Alligator mississippiensis: one gene and its partner. The protein of the gene in region 2 binds, or shares a complex with, the protein of the main gene of each other region. Links are inferred from orthologs where the notes say so. Each region holds a gene or a part of one and is shown on either strand. Other genes may lie near its edges.

Region 1 (3,751 bases), on a different chromosome or scaffold from region 2:
AACAAAACTGTTTTCTTTATTTAAAAAAAAAAAAATCCACATGGTAAAGTCTTGTCCACACTTTTCTTAACTTGTGTCAATTAGTTTATGGGACAGCATTCTTTTCTCATCTCTGCAAAAGTGCATATGGCTTCTCCTTATGCAACAGACATGTATCATATTAAATGTTCTTATAAGCTGTTAAAAGAAAAAATTCAACATCATGCCTAGAATATGTCTTGATAACAACCCACACGTATAAAGTAAGGGTGCACTGATAGAGATTTTTGGGGCCGACATCGATATCCAATTTTTAAAGAGGCATATCAGAAATCAGATGGGTACTGGTCGATACAGCATGAAGAGCTGCCTCCAGCTGGTAAGTCCATTGTGGTGGAGGGGGAGGGAAGACGCACCGGGGGGGGTGGCAGTGAGGGAAGGGGTAGGCACTGGCCAGCCAAAGCAGGTGTGGGATGGACCCACAGCCTCCCACAGCTGCGCGAACCCTGGGAGGACCAGGGGGATGGGGCAGGCAGCACATGCCCCTGAATCTGCATGGGGCAGGGTAGATGGGCTGCAGCTGTAGGCTAAAGACGGGGCTGCACCTTGGCTCTTCTCGCTGGGGGCTGGGCTCAGGGTGGGGGCTACAGTTGGGGCTCCAGCCACCCCAAATTTCACTGTAGCTCCCTCCCAGTGCCACTGCGCACTCCCAACTCTTCCTGGCACGTGGGTAGAGGCAGGGTGTTGAGCCGGGGCTGTTCCAGGAATGCAGTGACAGCCATCCTGGGAGGGAGCTACGGTGAAATTTGGGGTGACTGCAGCTCCCTCTGTAGCCTCAACCTGAGCCCAGACCCTGGTGAGAAGAGCCCGGTGCAGCCCTGGCCTCACCCTTCACAGATCTGGGGGCACCCCCTTCCCCCCATGCTTTCCCAGGGTGCACACAGCTGCAGGAGCCACCCCCCCCAAACAAGCCGCAGATACGTTCTGTGCCCCCCTCCACCACAGCTGGGCAGCACCTGCCCCTATCCCTGACCCCTCCCTCACCATGTGGAGGGGTAGGGGGGTTGATCTGCACCCCCCACATCCCTTCCCTCCCCGCTCCCCTTCCACCAGAGACTTACCAGCTTGGGGCAGCTATCCACACTGCAAGGCTGTGCTCCTTGCTGCCTGAATGCTGTGCTGTGGCTGTACACACGTACAGGCATTTATCAGCCAAATTACTGGCCCCAACAGGCCAGTTTCCGATACAGCCAAAATTTGTTTATACTGGTACCGATCTGATACCAGATGGATATATCAGTGCATCTCTAATATAAAGCATTTGTTATTTTACAAACACATGCTCTATACAAATACATAAAACAACAAAACTTTCCTAAAGCTTTCATTCCAAAGTTTAATGCTGGTCCCATTACCCTCATTTAGTGGACATTTGTCTTAGCCTTTTTTGTTGTTGTTTATTTGGAAGCATTCAGCCAAGTTTAGCTTTCAGCTGTTGGAGAATAACTGCTGATTTTTTCTTTTTAACATTTTTGGTTGGTTGGAGCCGACTGCATGACAACTCGGTACAAAACTTATTTAACTTGTAAAAGTATATACATTGGTAATTTGTTCATACTGTATTTTTTCGGTATGATGAAGAGCAAAAGATATATATTGTCTCATTACATTTAAATTATGATTACAATTATTAAAATTGGCAAAATATGGAATGTTTATTCTTTGCATGGTAGTATATGCCTTCCTGTAACTTCACTTGGTTACTTTATTATAAATGAGTAAGATCATATAATAGATTGCATGTAATATGTTTAATTTTAAGACAACACATGATGTACAGTTTCTAATGAAAGGTTTCTTGTATTTTTTTAATACATCATGAAGTAGCAGAGAAGTGCCCAGCATAACTGTTGAGCCTGCAGCTGTGGTGCCCTGGACAGCTTTCTGAGACTACACTATTGCCTAATTTCCTTGTTTAAGGAAACTACAAGACCTTTCAAGTTTCTTTACAGAACCTGGTCTTGATGCCTTGACAGTAGTTTGAGGAATGCCTATGGGTTTTCCAGAACTGTAAAATGGTTGTAGCCCATCCAAGTGTGAAAAAGCAAAAAGAAAAATACAATTACTCCATCATCAGACTTCAAAGTAGCAAATAACATTCAAAGTTGCTGAAATTAACCAAAAAGTACTTTTGTTGCCTAACTCTATAGCCACAGAGCAGCTCCTGAGAACTGGATAATATTCTCAGAAAGCCAGTGAGGCCACCACTGATGCATGCTCAACAGTTACACTGGGCACTTCCCTGCTTCTTCATGACCCATTAAAAAAAAATAGAAAAAAACTTTCATTAGAAACTGCCCATCAGACCTGGTCTTGAAGTAGGGTGAACAAAAAACAACCATGACCCTTTTACATAGATAAGGCAGACAGAGATGGAGGAGGACACCTGGGAGTGAGAAGGAGCCACCACCACTGATGTCACTTTGAATGCTCACAGGCAGTAAACACTCTCTGCGGTTTCATTTCAGCCTATAGCCCACAGGCTTGGTACCGTCCTCCAGAGGGAATCTGAGCTTGCCCTACATTTAGAGACGAGCAACCCAACAGGTCAGGGGCGGCACAAGTATGAGTGCACGAGTGGCAAGAGCAGCCTGTGCAGCCGGCAGGCAGCACAGCAGCAGCTCGGGCAAGGAGCAGAAGCCGGAGCAACAGATTTGGCAGGGAGCGCGCAGCCGGGAGCAGAAAGGAGAGCAGCAACGAGGGCAGGGGTACAGAGCAAGACGCAGAAAGCAGCAGCTCAGCCGGCAGCAAGGCGGGACAGGGCTCTCGGAGGCAGGAAGCGCACACCCACACCCACGTCCCTCCGGACCCCGCAACTCCAGTCCCGCACTCACAAGACGCGGTCCAGCGGCTCCATCTCGGTAGCCCCTTGCACGCGCGGCTCAACCCCACGTGGACGCACCGCACACAACCGGAAGTCCGCATTCCCTTTTCACTCTGTAACGTCACATCCGCCTACCGGAGGCGATGGCGCCACTGCTCCCTCCTCCCGCTATTTAGTAGCTTGCCCGCCAGCGCGTGCTCAGTGACAACGCATGAGGGCGCTGCCCTGAGCTGGGCATAAAGTGGGGAGGGGGAAGCGCCGGGTCTGCTCCTAGTTAGTGAATAGGTTGCTTTTCAGTACATGATCGTCATTACTACTGCTACTACTATCGTTATTATTGTTAACGTTGTATTATTAAACTAATAAAAATGATGGTAAGGATAATAATGACAATGTAATAAACCCTTTGCATCCTTTATTATCCTGCCAAAAGTAGAGTGGAAGAAGCCGGTGGGACTTACAGCGCAAAACTAACCAGCGGAAATGAGGTTGAAGTTGGTTCCTTATTCCCAGTCCCTTTCTCAAACCTAATCTATACACACTAAAAACTTGTTATTCGTGAATTACACATTCTAAGAGAGATAATTCCATCAGCTATGTATATTTATTAATTAATATGTAAAATAATATCCTACATCAAATACAGAGCCCTAAATTAAGACCAAATTAGGATAGGATTACGGGGGAAACTACTTTTTGGGACACCCCAGACTGCAGGTTGCTGCTACTGGGGGACTGTCCCGAATAACCCTAAGCACAATTGGAATAAGGAACCAACTTCAACCTCATCCAACAGAAGCCCTTTTGCACATACATATCTTCAAGGGCATGTTTATGCCCCATCAGGTTGTGCCTAGATCCTGGTATTTGTGGGGGCACGGTGTTATT
Region 2 (3,308 bases):
GGCATAATTTTTCCCGCCCAGCTCCTATTTCTGCTGTAGCTTCCCTGGGACTTAAGGATTACAAAGGTAGCATAGAAGCCTCCCCTCACCACCACCACCTTGCATTGCAGTGGCAGCGGAAGTGGTAGTGCGCAGGCTCTGCTGCCCCATCCCCTGCTCACTGGTGCAGGAGCAGGACCCCGAGATGGACCAGAGGGACAAACCTGAGCTGTCCCAGCCTCAACAGCCGCACCTGCTTGGTGAGAAAAAAAAAAATCTGAACTAAGGGGCGGTGGGCAGGGGGCCCTCAGGCAGCAGGGCCACAACAGCAGGTGCCTCAGCATTGCCAGGTGTTCAATATGAAATTATCGTATTGGGAGCTCAAAATGATTGTATTTTCTGAAAAACTATCATACACTGAAAAATAATGAAATAAGTATGCAAATAACTCTTCTTCTTTTTTACTTACTATTGCTCACTGTTAAACTGCTGTGAGTGAGAGAGACCTGGATCATCAAAGTTGAAACATTTCTTTTTTTCAAGGCAAACAGCCAGAAGAGAGTGTCGACAGCAGCCCCGACTCAGCTAAGACTTCCTGAGCATGACTTGGTGCATATGCTGCATCAATTAGTTGCCTCAATAATCGTCCTACATTTTGAACACTTTTACTATTACTGATTGTACACTGCACAAGGGCTGAAATGATTGTACAAAACCGATCATTATCGTACGCCTGGTAACACTGGGGTGCTTCTGCTATACAGGGCCTGGCGCCCAACGCTGGGGGCGGTGAGGAGGGCGCTGCTACAAGGGGTGCCGCAGTACCGCGGGGAGGGGGAAGGAACTACGAACCCCAGCATGCAACGCGCCGCCCGCCCCCCTGCCGCCGGGCTCCGCGCGGGGCATTCTGGGCAATGCAGTCCCGCGCTGCTTACACTCATCCGGTGCCTTGACCCGGAAGCGGCCCTTTCCCGGCCACTCGCACGTGGAGCCATGGCGGCCCCGCGCGCGGAGGAGCTGCTGGCGGGCGTGGAGCCGGCGGCCCTGCCGGCGCGGAGCCTGGTGGTGCACAAGGAGCTGGAGCTGGACTTCGACCTGGGCAACCTGCTGGCGCGGGACGGCAACCCGCCACCCCGCGCCGCCGCCGCCGCCCAGCGGGAGGCCGCACTGCGGGCGCTGGCGCGGGACAACGCGCAGCTGCTGGCGGCCGAGCTGTGGGCGCTGCCGGCGCGGCGGCCCGAGGGGGAGGCGGCGGGGCCTCTGCTGGCCGAGCTGCCGCCGCCCGCCACCCGCCTGCCCCGCGAGAAGCCGCCGCCGCGCCCGCGGCCGCCCACGCGCTGGGAGCGCTTCGCGCAACTCAAGGGCATCCGACGGCGTAAGCGGCCCTCGCTTGTGTGGGACGCGGCGGCCGGCGATTGGCGGCGGCGCTGGGGCTACGGGCGGGCGGGCGGCGACCCGGCGCGGGCGTGGCTGGCCGAGGTGCCGCCCGGGGCTGACCCGCTCCAGGACCAGCTGGGACGGCAGCGGCGGGAGAAGCGCGAGCGCGTGGCGCGCAACGAGTTCAGCCGCCTGCGCAACCTGGCACGTGCCAGCAGCTTCCACCCCACTGGCCACCAGGGCCGCCAGGAGCTGGGCCGTGCCGCCTGCCTGGCCCGTGCCTCCACCGCCTCGCTCGGCCGCTTCCAGCCGCGCCTGCCCCGGGAGTCGCCTCTGCCCCTGCCACGCAGCGCTGGCAGCGGCAAGAAGAAGCGGCGCTTCGCACCTCTGCTGGGGGACCTGGCGGCCGAGCGCGGGCGGCAGCTGGAGTTGGTGCGCACGCTGGCCAAGCCACCACCACTGGACGTGGCGCGCGCCACCAACAAGCAGCTGCGCCAGGAGGACGCCGAGGTGGCATCAACGAGTCGCGCCAAGGGCCGCAAGCGCAGCGAGCGTGGAAAACGGGCACGAGGGCGGGGCACCCCCCAGCAGCGCCGCCGGGGGCAGCAGAAGCAGCAGCGCCCGGCTGGGGGCAAGAGGAGGAAGCGCTGAGCATGGCCTGGGCCCTGCCTGGGATTCCCCCCCACCCTCGTGTGTCTGGGGGAGGGCAATCTCTCCCAGCCCAGAGTGGAGCTGGGGTACCCCCCAAGAGACAGGGCACAGGCCTGAGCCAGAAGGACTTGCTCCCCATTTATATGACAGGACCCCATTCTCGTTTGTCTTCTTGTGGCTGCGCTCAGAGGCTGGAGATGCTTTAGCAGGACTGACTGGTTACAAACAGCACAATAGACATGGGCATTTGCTTTTGAGAGGGTTTCTGGGACTGCGTTGTGGAAGGACTTAAAGAGGGTTGTTCCATGTGTTAAATGAGCCATTGAAAGTCAGCGGCTGTTTCCAAGCTTACTTTTTTGCTAAGCAGCCTAAGTATGTTCCTCCAACTCTGTCACCCCTTCATCTTTTCTCCAAGCTATCCCAGATGGGTTTGGTTTATTTTGTGTTCTGCCCTCTATTAAAATTGTAAGAGCTATAAAAATACTGCAGGTCCAAAGTGTCTCTTTCTCATGGCCTAGAAAAGCAGAGATGGGTCTGAACAAGAAAAAGTTCACTGTGTGTATGCAATTCCTTTCTGTGCTGCTGAAATGTAGACCAAAGGTTGTGAGGAATCACTTTCTAGAATTGCTCCCTACTGTGAGAAGGATGTTGCAATAAATGAAGATTTTGTGGTTTGGGGTTTGTTTTTTTTAAATGAGGTGAGTAAAGTTCTGGCTTATTTAATTGAATTGACTACGTGCATTGGGGAGAGTTAACATGTCTCAGAACATTAATACTGTACTAACTGGTATTATCTAACTAAAAATGTGGCACAATTAACATTTAAGATTGGGTAGATAAAACAGCAACTTGGAACAGTCAGAAGTTGCTGTTAGAAGGGAAGATGACTGGTACTAGAGCAGGGCTGGGCAATTATTTCGGGTGGAGGGCCGCTTACCCAGTTTTGGCAAGCCGTTGAAGGCCGCAGGGGTAGTCCCACCCCTTGACAGGTGCCCTGCCCCCTGGTCACCATCTTGGGACCAATGTCTCAGGGCCACTACAGGCAGGGAGCAGGCTGGTAGAGGTCTGTGGAGCTGGGCTGGGCTGCACCGACAGGGAGAGGGGGGAGCTGGCCCTGCTCCATAGAGCCCCTGCCAGCCAGGACCCTATACTCCTGCTGCCCTGGTGTAGGCCCCCTGCTCCCTCTGGCTCTTGCACCCTCTCACTCCCAGTGCCCAACTCAGCCCTGTGGTACAGGCAGGGGGTAGCGCACAGCCCCGACCTGGCGCTTGCTGGCAGGGAACAAGCTGGTGCTGAGCATG

The links. Proteins that work in one complex are often made in the same cells at the same time.
Region 1: RRS1 (region 2) and RPF2 share a complex: the UniProt entries of both Homo sapiens proteins name them as parts of the hexameric 5S RNP precursor complex. The link is inferred for Alligator mississippiensis from reciprocal best matches to the Homo sapiens genes RRS1 and RPF2.

What each region holds. Positions count from the first base shown.
Region 1 is NC_081824.1:96,476,840-96,480,590, reverse strand, and holds the start of RPF2 (ribosome production factor 2 homolog), read right to left. Parts: upstream 2,998-3,751; 5' UTR 2,897-2,997; coding exon 2,874-2,896; intron 1-2,873. UniProt on the Homo sapiens protein: Involved in ribosomal large subunit assembly. May regulate the localization of the 5S RNP/5S ribonucleoprotein particle to the nucleolus.
Region 2 is NC_081826.1:64,239,099-64,242,406, reverse strand, and holds RRS1 (ribosome biogenesis regulatory protein homolog), read left to right. Parts: upstream 1-910; 5' UTR 911-972; coding exon 973-2,007; 3' UTR 2,008-2,681; downstream 2,682-3,308. UniProt on the Homo sapiens protein: Involved in ribosomal large subunit assembly. May regulate the localization of the 5S RNP/5S ribonucleoprotein particle to the nucleolus.